4 linked regions of the Saccharomyces cerevisiae S288C genome follow. The gene in region 2 interacts genetically with the main gene of each other region. Each region holds a gene or a part of one and is shown on either strand. Other genes may lie near its edges.

The links.
Region 1: mutations in UBP2 (region 2) and UBP14 together harm fitness more than expected from each alone (negative genetic interaction), as found in Saccharomyces cerevisiae (3 studies listed by BioGRID, with this or other methods).
Region 3: mutations in UBP2 (region 2) and MMR1 together harm fitness more than expected from each alone (negative genetic interaction), as found in Saccharomyces cerevisiae (3 studies listed by BioGRID).
Region 4: mutations in UBP2 (region 2) and MUM2 together harm fitness more than expected from each alone (negative genetic interaction), as found in Saccharomyces cerevisiae (2 studies listed by BioGRID).

What each region holds. Positions count from the first base shown.
Region 1 is NC_001134.8:353,172-358,162, forward strand, and holds UBP14 (ubiquitin-specific protease UBP14), read right to left. Parts: upstream 2,847-4,991; coding exon 501-2,846; downstream 1-500. Other genes in the region: MUM2 (Mum2p), read right to left, coding at 1-122; TSC3 (Tsc3p), read right to left, coding at 3,153-3,395; serine/threonine protein kinase AKL1, read right to left, coding at 3,690-4,991. UniProt on the Saccharomyces cerevisiae protein: Required for the adaptation to the presence of glucose in the growth medium; mediates the degradation of enzymes involved in gluconeogenesis when cells are shifted to glucose-containing medium.
Region 2 is NC_001147.6:554,324-560,448, forward strand, and holds UBP2 (ubiquitin-specific protease UBP2), read right to left. Parts: upstream 4,320-6,125; coding exon 501-4,319; downstream 1-500. Other genes in the region: Paf1-complex subunit LEO1, read right to left, coding at 1-247; putative monooxygenase CAT5, read right to left, coding at 4,707-5,408; IAH1 (isoamyl acetate-hydrolyzing esterase), read right to left, coding at 5,638-6,125. UniProt on the Saccharomyces cerevisiae protein: Has an ATP-independent isopeptidase activity, cleaving at the C-terminus of the ubiquitin moiety in natural or engineered linear fusion proteins, irrespective of their size or the presence of an N-terminal extension to ubiquitin.
Region 3 is NC_001144.5:533,489-537,408, reverse strand, and holds MMR1 (Mmr1p), read right to left. Parts: upstream 2,196-3,920; coding exon 720-2,195; downstream 1-719. Other genes in the region: peroxin PEX13, read right to left, coding at 1-137; ATG26 (sterol 3-beta-glucosyltransferase), read left to right, coding at 3,016-3,920. UniProt on the Saccharomyces cerevisiae protein: Involved in the guiding of mitochondrial tubules to the bud tip during cell division.
Region 4 is NC_001134.8:351,465-355,277, reverse strand, and holds MUM2 (Mum2p), read left to right. Parts: upstream 1-1,984; coding exon 1,985-3,085; downstream 3,086-3,813. Other genes in the region: ubiquitin-specific protease UBP14, read left to right, coding at 1-1,606.

The sequences.
Region 1 (4,991 bases), on a different chromosome or scaffold from region 2:
TTTCTTTCACCAGATTCGTATAGGGCTTGTTGCTGTGACTGTTGGTGGGGATGAAATGCCAAATTGTTAAAGGACGTTTCCAACGAATGTTGGGGATCATAATCATAAGCCATGTAATTCATTTTTACAACAGTATTCCAAACGAGCCGTGTATGCAAAAAGAATGAGGTCAAATCAAAAGATCAAGTACCAAGCCAGCTGATTCTCTTCTTACTAAGTTTGACTATCGTTTACATTTCTTGCTTGTTGTTTCATCAAACAATGTACTCTTTTCTTGTTTTAAATGATTTTTTAGCGGCGAAGGTAACAGCAGCAAAAAAAAAAAAGAAAAAACATTGCAAAATAGCTAATGGAAATGGATTTATTACTGAAATATGTAGAAATATTTAACTCGATAGATTTGATCATACACATATAATGCAAAATATATATATATATATATATATATATATATATATATATATGTGTGTGTGTGTGTGTGTGTGTGTGTAAACGTTCTTTTAGCATCTTGTATAGAAATAAATATAACCATTTTTTTTCATATCTTCAATGCTGTCGGCAGCAACTAGTTTCTCATCGTTATAAAGAACCCACTTCCATTTGTCTGCCACTAGTTTACGAATAAAAACAACATAGTGACCAGAATGGACAGAATTTCCCTTATGACAAATAACTGCAGTTAAAGCGTACGGTTTAGCGGTCGAATATCCAAGATCCTTTTTTTGTTGCTGTTCTTCATTTGGCACTTCAGGTTCGGGAAATGTTCCATCATCATCCATGTTGTTAAATACCCATTCAACACTACGATTAACATCTCCGTTGTTGAGTATCAAGGCTTTACGACATAAGTTGGGATTTAGTCCCATGGATAACATTGAAGTCAATGATACCTCATCCACTTCTCTCTTATCTTTCTTGGGGACATTAGGAGGCGGGACAAAGGGATCATTTAAATCAGGGTCATCCATATGCTGGAATAGCCAATTCATAGCGCTCTCAGCGTCTTGGTTTCCGGTGTTAAATAGGGCGCGCACGCTAGCATTTTGAGTAAAGCCCATTTCAATTAATTGAGAAATACTGCATTGGTTTGGCGTAAAAGAGCTACGGTTTTCGTCCTCATCAGGCAATAAGTTTTCAGTTTGAGGATCAAATCCTTGTGATAAATAAGACGAAACATCTAGCATATCATCCCTGTCTATTAAACCTGGTAAAGAAAGCTCATTACTTGTCTTAACAGGAATCCAGTTCTGTAATCTAATCCTTATTGGGTTCAAAATAAGTGTTTGAGGAAGAGATTTGAAACCAGGTTTTTTATTTGCGGTAACCTTTTCCTTACAATTAGCACATTTAAATTCAATCGTCTGCCCTTCAAAATACGCCTTGATTCTCTCTAACATATCTTGAGGTTCATCATTCTCCTCTAAGGGAATCTGTATAGCCTCTGTGGGTTCATAAGAATATTTAACCTTCCCGCAAATGTTACATTGGAGCCTATCCTCCATCATAAATCTAACTAAATCGTTGGGATTTGGAATACCTGAAGAACTACTTGAAAAAAATTTCTTGTCTAACAAGTCTAAAAGGAAGGTTAGAAATTCCATCGCATCCTGTTGTCTATTGGAACTGAATTCCTGATGATTTTGCCCAATGCATTTCTTGAAAGTAGTAGGTTTGATACCATTTGGATATAGTTCGGGTTCACATTTCATGGCATTGAGTAGCTTGATCCATTGGCACTTTAAATTATTGTCCGGATATACAACATCCAGTGGAAATTTACTTCCTAGAAAATCCAAGGACCAATTCGGGACGCCACCATTCACCAAGCTTTGTATAACCGAATTTAAGTAACAGGAATTACCCAAATTGATCAGACCACAGCCATAATTCTTACTAGCGGATAATTTTTCAAATTCTTTACCGCTAGAATCGACCATTCTAAATTGCCAATTTTCGTTCTGTTCCACTTGTAATTGAACTAGAGTCTTTTCATCCGCAATCTTTTCTTGTATGTTAATTCCGTATATTTGTAGTGCACTGCCTAAATTAACATTATCTGGAAATCTAGTTTCGTCGTCACATGCGTAACAATACAGATCATAGGTTGAAGAGCTTAAAGACCCTAATTTGATAGCTAATGGGTGATTATTATTACTCCGATAATGATCCAAAGCATGCGAGTGACCATCAATCCCGATTTGTTCCCTGCCACATCCGATATTACCACAATGTAGGCATAACCAGAGATTTTGAGTCAAATCACAGGAAGAGCATTGGTTTAAATTCACAGTATTTTCGGGCTTAGATGGAATTTGAAAGTTTTCTGTATGTGGACAGGTGCTGATTTCTAACACCCAGGAGTTCTTCTTATCCTCGAAGTCTTGTGACTTCGCCTTTAATATCTTTTCAATCTTCTCCAAGGCCGTAGAAGAAATGTCAGAGTCTGTCGACTTCGAAAGTACGGTCCTGGGAACATTTTCACCATTGAACCTTTGTAAACTCCAAATAGTGTTGTGGGTGTCGTCTTCTGACGTCTCAATTACCTGTAGCTTTATTTTTTTGTTGTTATTATTTTCTTCTACATTTTCTTGCTTAGGTTTCTCCACTTTAGCAATAGTTAAATAATTGGAATGTATGGTATCGCAAGCATATTCTGTGACTCGGATATGGAGTGGAACATGTCTGTTGCACGTAGCTTGGAAACAGTTTAAGCATATATTCAATGAATGTTTAGGTGATGCATTGAGGGCCAATGGTTCATTATAAGGGGATTCAAAGCAATAAATACACTCATCTTTTGAAACGACTGCAGGAACGTTAACGTTTTCTAGTACTGCTTCTGCCATTTCTGAATGTGAGAAAGACTTCGGGCTCTCTTTTTGGATGAATTTACCTGTCATCTCTACTGCCATTGCAAGTCGCTTTTCACTGTGATTTCATCAAGTGATAAATTTGATCTCATTCCAAACGATGTCATTTTTCAAAGGCACATCAACTGTTATAAATTATATCCTATAGCCACAAGCAATTATTAGTTTATGTATTGTGTGTATATTTATGTAACTCTATCCTCCATGATATCCTCCTAAATTTTCTGTCCCCTTGCCTCCAGCTTATACTATTATTAACCGAATAAGGATATAAATAATCATTCAAAGGAAGCAATACTTTAGTATACCGAAGAAACTCAAACTGAAAATTGTGAGAAAAAAAACATGGAGGAAGAATGAATCAAAAGAGGCCATTAAATAAAAGGGTAAATGTATGTAGTAGGTCCAATAAAGCTTTTCCACCACTTCTTCAATAGTATTTAGTATGCCTTCTGATTTCCCATTACGTCTTTTAGCTTCCTTAGTGGTGGGTATGTACACCATCGAGCTTTTATGTTGTGTCATTTCTTCCCCTTATGATATGTTCCACCTTTGTTCTTCCGGTTTCTACACTCTTTATCTCTAGTACTTTTAAAATGGTGTCATTTCTGTCAAATTGCGAGCACTATTACTCTTCACTTAACCGCTTCTCGTTAAGCGCGTCAGGAGTAAACGTCATCTCGCACGATATGCTTAATGCATATGATTTGAGTTACTATTGTTCTATCAATTTAGTTTTTGAGGAAGATATACGGATTGTCTGCGCCTCTATATGTAACAATGTATGTATATGATTTTATATGTGCTCTATTTATCGAATCATTTCTCGCTTCTAAAGACTGAGAAAAAAGATCTCCTTTTCCCGTTACTGCCACCACTACTGGATGCACTACTTGCCATCGCTTCACGACGGACCCTTTCCAAATCAAGCGATTGACGGGCCCTAGCGAAGGATTTTCTCATCTCTGATGGAGTTGAGGTGCTAATAGTAATGCTGCTATTGCTATCCTTATCCTTCGAATGCCGGTATCTTTCCAAATCGTGCCTTTGCTTGGAACCAGTCCTGTGTGTTTCATGCTTGCCATTTGACCGGGTTGACAGTTCGTGACCAGTACTGTGGCGCTTATTCTCAGTTATTGCGGTGGAAGCATGAGGTGAAACTCTATACGAGTGATGTGAATTTGGTGCTGGCGAGTCGTTTTTATTTCTATGCTCTTGAGTTAACGTTGGTGAAGACAGATTTACTTCCTGGAAATTCAGATCCAATGACTGCCGCGGTTGCCTTGTTGATACGCTGCTGAAGTCCTTGCTTTTGAATTGATTAGACTTACTAGCATCACTTGATCTTGCCTGGTCTTTATGACCTCTTTCATTATGGAGTGGTCTTCTTTCAGCTGTTTTTCCTCTCCTTGCATCATCCAAATCAATATCAATGCTTTCGCTGGAGACCATACTATCTCCCAATTCGTCTGTTGAATAATTGTTCCTCTTACTGGAACCTTTGCGTCCAGAAAGCTTAGCTTGTTGAATTGATGCAGACGATGAAGACGATGAAAAGGAGGAGACAGCAGCACCAGTATCATCTCTTGATAAGTCCATCTCATTCAAACTTAAATTTAAAACGCCATTTCGATTATTGTTCGAGCCTTTGATAGTTCCTGAACCGCCGGCATCTTCGATACCGCCAGTTTGAGGCTCATTTGTATCTTGGAAAGATTGCTTTCCTGCATCTTCTTTTAATGGAGATAGTTCAATTAAGAGAGCTTCATTTTTAGAGGATGAGTGCATTGGTTCATTTGCAGAATTTCCTGCAAGAATTGGAGGTTCACCCCCCTGAGCATTTCTCATATCTTCTGTGGTATGATTTGTTCTATCAGAGACGTAAGTACCATTATTATTTGCATTTTGAATTTGCATTTGCTGTTGGACTTGCAGTTGTTGCTGAACTTGCATCTGCTGCTTGGCTTGCATCTGTTGCTTTGCCTGCATCTGTTGTGCCTGCAATTGCTGGGCTTGTATCTGTTGCGCTTGCTGCTGATTCATGGAAATAACAGGTCTCACCATTGGAATTGCTGGGGAATTTTGACTTGGGAGATATCCTGACTGGGAGTTCGTGGCGTA
Region 2 (6,125 bases):
TTTTTTCAGTCTCCGATTTTTTAACATCATCATCATCATCGTCATCATTGTCATCTCCAAATAAATCATCTAGTTCTGCGTCTTCTTCTTGTTCCTCTTCTTTAGTATCATCATTTCCATTGACTTCCTTGACATTATCATCTTGAGAGCGGCTTGTTTCCTCATTGCTTGTACTATTGGTGGTAACGCCGACGTTATTGCTGATTTGCTCCTTCTGTGGTTGATCCTGTGGGCTTTCAGATGACATCTTAATTATAGTCCAGTATATCTAATTGGATTACTTTGATTGGACGCACCTAGTTTACGCAACCTATCTACTTAACGACTTTCTTCAGCTTTCGTATTCACTTCTATGAGCTTGTTCTTTTTTTTTTTGTTTTTTCGTTTTTCTTTACGTAGCAGATAGTCACCCGTAACGATTGAATATGGCAAAGCTTTTTACATAATAATGGTACTTATGGCAATAGTGACATTTTACATAAACTCTTCATTGACTAAGACTACTTTAGAATTCTTTTCAATGGCTCAATATCACCTTCTTGTCCTTGTTTGACATATACTAGGAAATATGGAGTTGCAGTGTTACCCTCATTGAAATTGAAGACCTCCTCTTCCTGGACCTCACTGATGGTTTCATCATTGTACTTCCTCCAAATTCCATTGCGATTTCTGTCCTTGATATATATCCAATAGTGACCATAACTGGCCTCGCCGCGATGAATAAAAACCGAAAACAGTGAGTAACCATATTCCTTGAAATCGTCAAATTGATGGCTTATTTTCTCTTCCAAACTGTTGATATCATTGTATAATTTCATCAATTCATTATCGATATTTTGAACGTTGTTTCTCAGCGTCTTTATCACATCATTAGCAGCCTCAATTTTTAAAGGAGTTTTCTTTATGGTATCCGATTCCAATAGCTTGATACTCTCCAAAAATGCATCCTTCCTTGTAAGCCCTGAATCATCACGACTCAAAAGCTCTCTTTGTCTATTTTTCATTACCTTCAACTTTTGCTTCATTTCTTCTGTTTCTTTCTTTTTTGCCAACAATAAAGGGTTCTCTGTATCCGCGTATCTGTCCATGTAAATAACTTCTTTGAATGGTAAGGGCTCAATGGATTTAAACGGCATTAATCTTTCACGATCGTAATAAACTCTTTGGATTTGTACCTGCAAAATAGTAGGAAAAGTTGTAACAGCAACGGTACGTATAACATCACCATACTCTTCCATTGTCAGATATTCGTCTTTAAAATAAGAATCAAACGCATCATAAATATCTTTAGGATGATCGCCAATATTTATCAGTAACGATAGGAATCTTTCAACTTTCGTACGGACTTTATTTGTTGCGGACAAAGGAACAATACTTTGTTTAGTAGTACCATAAAATAGTTGCTTAACCAAGTCATATTGCTCGTTGTCTTCATCATATCGGATAGGCTCTGAACCGCTTTCTATCTGAAATAACACGTTTCCTATGCATTCAGTAACATCTTGTTGCCTACCCATTTCCAAAGCATTTTCTAATTGATCAGAACTGATTTTTGCCACACGCGTAGGTGAAGTTAATCCTGTTGTATCTTCGTTCTCACTTACTTCAGCATCATTCGATTCATTTTTTTTTCTGTTCGCATCTGTACCAACATCGCCATTAAGGCCATCTTCCATTTCTAAATCAATCAGGCTTGTATCCTTTATTTTTGTAGTAAATGCGTCATCCGTTGTTTCCTTCTTTGAATCCGAAAGAACTCCTGTTTGATCAACTACTTTATTGCCTTCCACTTCAAATTCTACTTCAACATTACTTGGAGCAAATGCCAAATATGCTAGCTCTTTTGAGGGTGTTACACATCTTTCTCTTGTATGAACCATCGCATAGAAAAGGTTGCGAAGTTGGTATATGAATTGAATAGATCTTTCCACTTCGCCTCTACTAATTTCTCTTCCACCAATTCTTCTAATATGCCCACTATTAGAGAGGTGGTCATTGAAATTTTCTACCGTTTTTTGATATTCCAATACATATCTTCTTAGTGGCGCAATGGAAAAGTAATATTGTAATAAAGAATTTAGGTAACAGGTGTTCCCGATATTATTAATGCCAGTTGGCCAATTTTCTGGCGGCAAGGAATTTGGATCTATCGTACCAGTTAGTAAGAAGTTGGTGATTAAAGTTGAATTTCTTTCTATACTGATTTTGGTCAATGCTGCCCTCAAAATAAGAAATTGGTCAGGCTCATAAACGTTTTCATCAAACCACTTTTGTTTAAAGATTTTCAAAATGGTTTCGTCAGAGGCATTTTCATTCACTTGAAGAAGCTTCAATGCCTCTTGGTAATCAAGCTTCTCTGGACCATAATAGTTGGAAAACTGTGGGCATTCCTCTGTTAAAAAATTGAACAAATCAAGGCTTCTTTTACTGATAGCAATGGTGTAAAGTGCTCTATCACAATCCAACTTTAATCCGGGAGAGTCGTTAATCTTGACCGAATATGCAGTTTTTATAATGTCTTCATCAACAGACTCGTCAATTGAAAGTGTGTCGTATGCCTGGGATAAAGCTCTGTAGGGCTCATGATCGACGTAAAATTTTAGTTTGTCAGATTTGGTATATTTGGCCAACAATCTTAGAGCATTTTTCAAATTTGTTAGGTGATTAGAGGTTACTTGGCTCTTATTTGATGTTTCATATTTGTAAATAGATAGCAAAGTCGCCTCATTTAATTCGGAGATGTTACACTCTTTAGGGTTAATTTTAAACATTAACAAAGCATTTTCTAGAGCTTCTTGGCCTATAATGTCCTGTTTTCCACAGTAAGCAATCAATTGATATGCCCCCTTCCTATTTGCAATGTATGTCAGTGCGTCAAAATACAGCCCAATATTTTCAGGATCCAAAGAAGACAAAGATTCGTAGTTTCTGATTATATCTCTATCGGTATAATAATGCGAAACGGAAAGATTAATAAAATGAGGTTCTGCGTCCAAAGGCGAATGAGTTTGCTCATTGGAATTTAATAGAATCCTTGCTCTGGATTCTCCCAATAAATGGAACCAAGGTAGTGTTGAGAAAGAAGTTTGTAATGAAGACATTCCCTTTACGCTTTTCGTATTTTTCAAGGGAGAATTAGGTGCCAGTAATGAGGTAGATAGTTGACCCCAAAATATCAGTTGTAAACACTTCCTCACAAACGATTCTCGAATTTTTCTTGTCTCCAAATCGTTTACATAGTCCACCATATCTGGAGGGACGTATTCAGTAAATATCTCATTAGTTTCCTCATCGATTTCTGAGCTTGCTTGAAATCCATACTTGGACGTTAACCATTCAGGATTCAGGTGAGTGTTAAGGGCCAAATTTCCAGAATCAATTGTCTTTGTAGGTTCCGCTTTACTTTTCCTCGTCAAAGGCCCTTTAAAAATTTTAAAAAGTGTGTAAAAACAGTCAACTTGAGATGGCGTCTCGCTTTTATCTAGTGATTCATTTTTTACACACATAGCATTGTATCTCTTCTTAATTGCGTCGGCAGTAAAACTCTCATGCTCTTCAGGTGAATTAAACTCGGGTTTAAAAATTTCAATCAAGATCAGTTTGTTAGTATCATCAGAAACGTAAATACCGTAATCCAACAAATTAGGATCGGAAGAATCAAAAGTCGAAAGGTCTACTCGATCGTATTCGTGCAAATGATCTAGTGAGTGGAATTGAGTAACACCGACATGCTTCTTCAACCGCTCCAGTTCTTGGCGGACTTTTACGCTAACCTTAAGATGATAAATAGGAATTTTAACAATATCATCAAAAGTTGAAATTTGCTGTTCTGCCAGTGATGGATTAAAGATGACCGCCTGAAATACATGTATTTTATTATATTTTGGGCATGAAATGGAATCATACTCGGATTTTGTTTGAAAAACCACTTGATCAGTTAATGAACCCAAGCAGTTAGGGCGAATACTACTTCTGAAAGTTGAGTAAGAAAGCATAGACTCTTTTAAAATACCCCTCGATTGCAGGCCCTTTTGCATGACCTTCGGGTCTGTAGAATTGAGAAAAATAGTATCGCAAAGTATATCGTCCAAAAGTCTGTCAGAAGTCTTCAGTGGTAGGTTGGTGGCAATATCTGGATACAGTAAGTGTTTTCCATCGTCAACATCTCCAGGGGTAGACTGCTGGTTTATACTTGTCCCGTATAATGGGAGGTCTTCTATAACAGACCCATTTCTGTCAGCATTTTCTTTATCCTGGTTTAGTAGTTGATTATGATGGTTCTCAATTGCTTTTTGAAGTTCATTATCTTCGTTCGGCATTTCCTTATACCTTCTTAACCTTGAACAAAAGCTTTCTTTTTAATTACCACTTTATTATTAGCAGTGGCCCCGTTTTTATGCAATGTTCTTCCAATGGCAAGCCGCTTGTTTTTTTCAAGCTATATGTACTATAGTTTTGCTCTAATTAACTGTTACTCTTGTTAAAGATCCAGTTTGTACTCACCCTTAGACTATGAACCCATACCCCATTTACATAATTATAGACAGTGTATCTATTCCTGTCATATTGGTCATATAGCGTTAAAATGCGTAAGGATGATACATAATTTTATACATGATAGTTTAATTAGGACATTTATCAAACCGTTTTCCTTTCAATTCTCCTTTTCTGGCATAACGCGACTGATGTATGCCACTTTCTGGTGGTTAAATTCTTTCGGCACTCCATATAGCTACTCTGCAAATCGTTTTAATACCTTCAGTGATAACTGTATATGGAACTGCCATATACGAATCATGCTTGATAGCGGTGTCTAGATGCTCTAGCTCGTCATCCCTGAACTGTTGGATAGTAGAAGTTAAGGATTTGATTTCCTCACTTGGACCCTTTGTTCCATCTGTTCTTTCTAAATTGAATTGATTGGCCAAGTTTCGCAATTGGCCATTGTAGTGCCCTCCGATTACTGTCTCGACAGCTTCAGTACAAGCCATAGCTGCTTCTGGAGAAATCAATGCGGTACCAGCCCCCATTGCAAAGGCTCCTGCCTTCCACAAAGGCGTTAATAAGGAAGGCCTGACTCTCCTTTTCAATTGCAAATTGTTAAAAGTATTATGATGATGTATCTCCTGGTCCCATATGTGCTTTAGCACAGGTTTCAAGTGAGGGTACCTATGAGCCAACACGAAGTACTGGCCAGCGTAGATGTAGTCTGCACCTAATTCGCCAGCTTGATCTACACGAATAACACGGTCCAAAAATGCAGCCTGAGCATCTGATAAATTCTGACACTTGGGAGCATGCTCAGGTTTTTCGGTGTGTTTTGCTGATGTATGTTCTGTTATCTTTAAAGATGATAAGACGGAAAAGCCTCTGCTGGCAGGTTTGAAAACTGAAACACGGGATAACATAATTTCTATGTATCTCTCCCGTATACGTGATATCTTTATTCCTTGAATTGGTTTGGAGGAGAAGATAACGACGTTTTCACAAGAATAAAACTCTCGTCTGTAAAAATAAGGAAACATGTTTTATAGATTTCTATTGTTTTTTTTCCTGAAAATCCCGTATATGAAAAATTATACAGTTGCTTAAAAGTTAGGGAAATATAGACAGAGTACGTACAAAGGATTACTGCATTCAAGACATTATGTTAGATCCATCATCTAGCACATCTCTCCAATCTTTCAGTTTGTACTGCATGTTTTTGGGATGATATTGGGGGTAGAATGTCTCAATGACCTTCAATAATTCGTCATGAAAAATTTTGTACCCTTTTCCGGAAAAGTGCAGTCCATCTGTTAGCAGTTGTTGCCAAGCATCACCACCTTCCTGTTGAAACGCCTTATTCAAAGCCACGAAGGGAACTTTTTCCTCATTGGCTAGTTTTGCTAAGGCATCGGAATAAATGGCAAAGTTCTCGTTGGTACGGAAGTATCCGAGAGCTATTTCTTCAGATTTTTCTTTTTCCCACTTCTCTCTATCTACTAGCCCCGGTCCTATTATAATAGGACGGATATGGTAAGACTTCATCAAAGATACCATTTGACGAATATTATCGATAAATTCGGGGAGGGGGACACTTTGGGGACCTGCTGAGCATGCATCGTTGGCACCCAAAAATATTG
Region 3 (3,920 bases), on a different chromosome or scaffold from region 2:
TTGCTTTCTTCAGTTGGCCTGGAATCCTGCTGATTCGAGGTCATCATCGCACTTAAAGACTGAGCATTACGCTGTGGCTCCTCTAACGAAGCACTGGTCTCCCAAGGTTTAGGTCGTGGTACTGCTGTGGATGACATCGCAGGTATTGTTATAGTATAGAATCCCCTTGATATTTATAGATAGTATATGCACTTTCGAAATTGTTGTTCATTTCCACATGCGTTTGCTCACCAACTATCTGATATAATTAATATTAGTCCGGCGGGCTTCGGAAATAAAAAAAATTTGGCCCGCTGAAAAAGGTGTCATTAATCAGATAAAAGAAGACTTTATTATATCATTTTTTTTGGTAATTAATGTATTTAAGTATAGGTTGAATAAACTTGAATGCAATATATAAATTATGTGTTTGTGATACCAGTCACACCGTGATTGGATTTTCTATTCAGCTTTTAAAAGCGGGGTATTTGCTTAGACGACACTATGAATAAATAGCTGCAGCATTCGACGTTGTAAGAAAAAAGATTAAATCACACGACAAGCCCTTTGAAGTTCAGTAATATTCAAATAAAAATTGTCCAATGAGAAGGATGGATAACGGAGAAATCACGCACATTGCAGATGCGTAACTCGATAGCCTACAATACAAAGCGCCTATCAGCATTGATGTATTGTGAATGTTTGTGTAAAATAAGTTAATTTAATTTGAAGTTGACGCTTCATTTTTCCTTCTTCTCCACTTGGACAGGAAGGTTAAGTTGGAAACCTCTTTTACTTTCCCCACTCTGCACAGATGCTGTTGTGGAAATAGCAGAAGTTGGCTCCTCTTCAAAAGCAACATTTAAATCTTCGCTAGTATTAGCATCCGTATCATCGTTTGTTAGATGATCTTCCTCGGACGAAGTTCCCGAAGAAGAATCTGGCTGTTCTTCAATTTTCTTTAGGTCTAAAACAGAAACGCGTGCCAGTCTAGTCTTAGGGCATGGGATTCTTGCTGAATTTCCTTCAGTTTTTGAAGTGGAGGTGGCCACTACTGCGGAGGATTCAGTCAATTTCTTAAGAACTTTTTTACAATTGAAGAATTTTTTCTCCAGTTGCTTGACTTTTCTCTCAATATCTCTTTGGGATCTTTGAGCCTGTATACTAGGATCCTTCATAACCTCAAGCATAAATCTTTCTTCAATGTATCTGTTCGTCGTCATGGAATGCACTAATTTTTCATTCTGCAACTTTAATTCTGTAATTTCAAGTTCTAGCTGCTTGATCTTTATGTCTAAATTCGATTTTTCACGACTATTTGCCTCCTCTGCATTGGCCATAGAGGCCATTTGCATTGAAATATGTTGTTGTCCGTCACACCATTCGGGCTCATAGTCCGTCGACGTAGACGAGATAAAGCTATATCTGTTGTTGTTGTTATTGCCTTTGAGACCATATTGAACGAACCCGTTATTATCCGTAGGTAAATTGTCTAGATTCAGATCCTTAGGCAATTCGTTCACTTCGGTGCTTAGACACTGAGTGGAGCCGCCGGAGACGACTCTAAGTCCTTTGTCCTCGACCTTTCGCACCCCATGATTTTCTGGATCTTCCAAAGGAGTAGCAGGAACAGGAACGTATGAGGGGAGCAACCCTTCGGCGTTTTTCCGTAATATCGGTTCTTCCGCACAGACTTTGGCCTCAAATGAAGGGGGATTGCGTTCTTTCTTTTGTACTTGCGCAACGGATTCTGAACTGCGCAGCTGCTCTAGTTTGTCCTTGATGCTTTGTTTAATGATGTTTTTCTCTATGTTCAATGGATCAGGGTTTGAATTCTGGCCTTCACTAGTAGTTTTCTTGCTATTCTTCAATAGGGCAGATAGCAATGGCAGATTACTGGTTGTTTGAGATAGGTACTCGGGTTTTAACATCTTTGGAGTGTTGTTCAAAAACTGAAACCTAATAGGCGATACAGACCTCATAGTGTCAGAGCCCCTTCTTTGTTTAGAACGTCCACCTCTTGATAACTCGCTCAATTTAGAGAGTGATGTTGGATATAACAAGGAATTACCAATCGGGCCAGTGTCTAATTTTAGCTTCGTAGGTGAGTTCAATAGATTTTGAAAAGAGCCTGCATTTCTTTGGTCATCCAAACAAAAGGACATTGGTGAGAGTTTTGGAGTAAGTTGTTCCGATTTCATTGTTGGAGAATTCATTTTTTTAGTTGTTTAGTTTATTAGTTGTGTTTTTTTTTTTTGATTTTGCAATGAGTACTGGCTTGTAACAAGTTAAAAGAAAAGAAGATTAGTTAAGAACAACGGAATTGAAACGAAAGTAAAATAGTTGGAACCGAGGATAACTATGTTGATTTAAAAGACTTCACACGCGATTCTTTTTCCTTACTGCTATTTAGGAAGATGTGCCCCTCCAAACCTTTCCTTTATTCCCAAGGCAATCAAAATAACAGAAAATACAGCAGTAATAAAGCTTAATTCTCTAGGCTCACTTAAACTGAGCAACAATTTGTTGATCGTACGTGTTATTTAATACTATCAGGAAAAAATAATCTAAATGTGAGAAAAACTTCTATCTGTAACCACTTTGTCTTGAATGAACGTAGAAAATTTAAAAACGATCAAGCTTGCGTGAGAGAACTTGTAAAGTAAGGAAATCTGATTTCTAAACCCATAATGATTCTTCATCGAGCTTTCTTGCCAATTGGCTAATTAGAACTCTTTTTAGTTTATTTCCCGAAAGGGGTATTTATATTTTGCCCGTTTGGGACAAAATTAACCCTGCTTACACCAGGGTTTATCTAGAAATAAAATAGGTCATTGTTTTGAGATGACTTGGAAAAACTTAACCCTGATGTGACTGTAACATAACATCTAAGAAAAAAGGGACTAAAAGTCAACAGAAGGAGTAGATCGGAAAGTCATTGCATTTATCACTGATAAAGTCATGGCTGTCAAAAAGTAAACATCAGAAGTTCAGTTGCACTTTATGCTTTGGTGAAAATCCGTATAACTTAAAAGAATGCCCATCACTCAAATCATATCAGCGTCTGATAGCGAGGCGGGGCCAAAACCAAGCATTTCGTTGGTACCTGATAAGCCATCTGAGCCAGAAACTTCCCCTAGGCATCATCGCCTTTCAAGGTCACTTTCGAAGTTCAAGCGCTGGAGAGGAAGATCAAATAGCAGTTTATCGATGGGGTCGTCTGAGCAGCAAGAACTGCAGGACAGTCCAAATGAAGCCCGTAGTGATGATGACGAAAACGGTTACAATAACGATAATGCAGATGACTTGGCGAAATCCAAGTATATGATGAAAAGTATTGCCGGTTTATTAACTACTGCTAGTGTGTATGCAGGGATGAATAATGCTCAAGAAATGAATGTGTTGTCGCAAGTTGATTCTGAAGAATCTGATTCCAGTGATAGTTTCCAGGAAAACATTGGTCGAAATGAGGTAAAAAGCAAAAAGGAAAATCTCAAAACTAAATCGCATCCGGAAGTACCAAGATTAGACAAAAGAAAGCCAACTTTATTCGACTTCTCAATAACTAGGGAAAAACTGTCAAAAGACAATGTGGCTAAGTTGAGACAGCGGTTTTGTTTAGACGAACAGGAACCATTTTTGAATGATTTCCCTGCATGGCTACTTAAAGATGTGTTGGTTCAAGGCCATATTTTTATTACAACAAAACATTTCCTATTCTTTGCATATTTACCTAAGAATCCTCGGTCGGTTAAAATGTCTGGAAACCTTAATATCAGGACAAAACTAATTAGGTCTACCAGGTATTGGTGCGTACTAAAGAATCATTTATTTTCTATGTATACCTCATCAACTGAGCTATACTTTCCGGTTTTAACCATAGATTTGAGGGAGGTCCAAAAAATTGAAACACAAAAACATACCTTAAACGGGAGTGCTAC
Region 4 (3,813 bases), on a different chromosome or scaffold from region 2:
AACCTATGATCTGTATTGTTACGCATGTGACGACGAAACTAGATTTCCAGATAATGTTAATTTAGGCAGTGCACTACAAATATACGGAATTAACATACAAGAAAAGATTGCGGATGAAAAGACTCTAGTTCAATTACAAGTGGAACAGAACGAAAATTGGCAATTTAGAATGGTCGATTCTAGCGGTAAAGAATTTGAAAAATTATCCGCTAGTAAGAATTATGGCTGTGGTCTGATCAATTTGGGTAATTCCTGTTACTTAAATTCGGTTATACAAAGCTTGGTGAATGGTGGCGTCCCGAATTGGTCCTTGGATTTTCTAGGAAGTAAATTTCCACTGGATGTTGTATATCCGGACAATAATTTAAAGTGCCAATGGATCAAGCTACTCAATGCCATGAAATGTGAACCCGAACTATATCCAAATGGTATCAAACCTACTACTTTCAAGAAATGCATTGGGCAAAATCATCAGGAATTCAGTTCCAATAGACAACAGGATGCGATGGAATTTCTAACCTTCCTTTTAGACTTGTTAGACAAGAAATTTTTTTCAAGTAGTTCTTCAGGTATTCCAAATCCCAACGATTTAGTTAGATTTATGATGGAGGATAGGCTCCAATGTAACATTTGCGGGAAGGTTAAATATTCTTATGAACCCACAGAGGCTATACAGATTCCCTTAGAGGAGAATGATGAACCTCAAGATATGTTAGAGAGAATCAAGGCGTATTTTGAAGGGCAGACGATTGAATTTAAATGTGCTAATTGTAAGGAAAAGGTTACCGCAAATAAAAAACCTGGTTTCAAATCTCTTCCTCAAACACTTATTTTGAACCCAATAAGGATTAGATTACAGAACTGGATTCCTGTTAAGACAAGTAATGAGCTTTCTTTACCAGGTTTAATAGACAGGGATGATATGCTAGATGTTTCGTCTTATTTATCACAAGGATTTGATCCTCAAACTGAAAACTTATTGCCTGATGAGGACGAAAACCGTAGCTCTTTTACGCCAAACCAATGCAGTATTTCTCAATTAATTGAAATGGGCTTTACTCAAAATGCTAGCGTGCGCGCCCTATTTAACACCGGAAACCAAGACGCTGAGAGCGCTATGAATTGGCTATTCCAGCATATGGATGACCCTGATTTAAATGATCCCTTTGTCCCGCCTCCTAATGTCCCCAAGAAAGATAAGAGAGAAGTGGATGAGGTATCATTGACTTCAATGTTATCCATGGGACTAAATCCCAACTTATGTCGTAAAGCCTTGATACTCAACAACGGAGATGTTAATCGTAGTGTTGAATGGGTATTTAACAACATGGATGATGATGGAACATTTCCCGAACCTGAAGTGCCAAATGAAGAACAGCAACAAAAAAAGGATCTTGGATATTCGACCGCTAAACCGTACGCTTTAACTGCAGTTATTTGTCATAAGGGAAATTCTGTCCATTCTGGTCACTATGTTGTTTTTATTCGTAAACTAGTGGCAGACAAATGGAAGTGGGTTCTTTATAACGATGAGAAACTAGTTGCTGCCGACAGCATTGAAGATATGAAAAAAAATGGTTATATTTATTTCTATACAAGATGCTAAAAGAACGTTTACACACACACACACACACACACACACATATATATATATATATATATATATATATATATATATATATTTTGCATTATATGTGTATGATCAAATCTATCGAGTTAAATATTTCTACATATTTCAGTAATAAATCCATTTCCATTAGCTATTTTGCAATGTTTTTTCTTTTTTTTTTTTGCTGCTGTTACCTTCGCCGCTAAAAAATCATTTAAAACAAGAAAAGAGTACATTGTTTGATGAAACAACAAGCAAGAAATGTAAACGATAGTCAAACTTAGTAAGAAGAGAATCAGCTGGCTTGGTACTTGATCTTTTGATTTGACCTCATTCTTTTTGCATACACGGCTCGTTTGGAATACTGTTGTAAAAATGAATTACATGGCTTATGATTATGATCCCCAACATTCGTTGGAAACGTCCTTTAACAATTTGGCATTTCATCCCCACCAACAGTCACAGCAACAAGCCCTATACGAATCTGGTGAAAGAAACGATGCCAGGCCGGGATTAATGAACACCTTAGGTCAGGCGAGTAAAATGAATAATTCCATGCTTCCTCAAGGTTCGTCGGCTAGTCCCTTAACGGGTCAACATAGCTTGAACAGTACAACAAATTTCAACATGCCCCCATCAATGAATACCTATAATTACCAGAATGTACCACAAGCATCTATGAGAAATACTCTCAATCATAACAATATCATGAATGGGGCAACTGCTAATGATTATTGGCTGGATCCAATGAATAATATGACAAATAACAAGGATACTAATGGGAATCCTAATGACTCGATGTCATCAATGTCTAATATGACCGCTAAAACCTCAATCAATAGTACGGCATTCAAGAATTCATTTGTTCCTTTTAATCATGTGACAGCGCTCTCAATGAATAATGTCAACAGCAATGAGATGAATTCAAATAAAGATGACAGAATGGAAGCATTGGAAGTAGAACTACAAATAAAGGAAAGTCAAATCGAATCACTCGAGAACGAAATTCAAAGGCTAAAGAAAATTTTCAACGAGGGGCTAAACTACAAGCAGAATGAGCATAAGTATGAGAAGGAAAACTGCCATATACCCCAAACTTTCGAATTGCCAGCTTCCTTGGAAGTGATATTCAGAAAACTGTCATCGTCACTGCATGCAAAGGAAAAGGAGTTAGCAGAGACGAAAGAAAATCTGGAAAGTATATTAACTGCACTGGCGCTAAATCCAACAAATTCAGTGACTAAGTATGGCAGGTATGATGCAGAATCGATTGCTCACAAAATGGTGGTAAGATTAGAAAACTTAACAAACGAGAACAAAGAAATGGCCAAGATGTTAGCATATGGCAGATCAAAAGAGACCCAAATTGAACTGCAGTTGGCCAAAAAAGAAAATCTAGAATTAAGAGAAAAAATCGCATCTTTGGAAGCCCATTTGGCTTCAAAGGAGTCTTCAAAGGAGGACGTTGCTAATTGAAAGAGGTTTACTCATTATCGAGAACATATGGCTAATTCTAAAAAACGAAAAAGAATAATATGCAAATATATAGATATGTGTATATGATACAAGCTTTTTTCATGAAAAATAAACGGAAGAGAATTTTTGCTTTTGTCCTACACGAGGAATGTATCAAAGACTATTACTTTTTTAAGTATGTTGTCTTAGATGGCTGAGTTTTATGCTTTTTCCAAAAAGAGCAACGTAGCTGTTATTTATTTACTTAGTTATTACCTCCAGATAACGTGTCTAATCTCTTACCTCTATTTATAAAAATTATTCATTAAAATACTATTGAAAATTGGAGTATATACTTACAAACGTATATATTTTTTTAGAAGCATCAAGGCAAGATCAAAGCTATGCCGCTTTGTTCCTGATGTTCTCCATTTTTTGCTGGCTTCATTAACAAAGACGTACTTTTAATCCTAGAGGTTCATAAAAGTGAACAATCAGTGTGAACTTTTATGGATATTACATAATACATTTAACGGCATTCCATTTAACAATAAAATTCAAATGTGCTCAGCTGTGATTCATTGAAATGATAGGATACATATTATTCGTTATGCCACTCGCAAACGTACAGCGGAAAATTTTGTGTGTGTAAATTATCTTGATGGTAACCACCGGAAACAATATAGGAAGACTACTCCACGAAGAAAAGCGTTCATGATGATACAAGGCAAACCACAGCTTACAAGGCA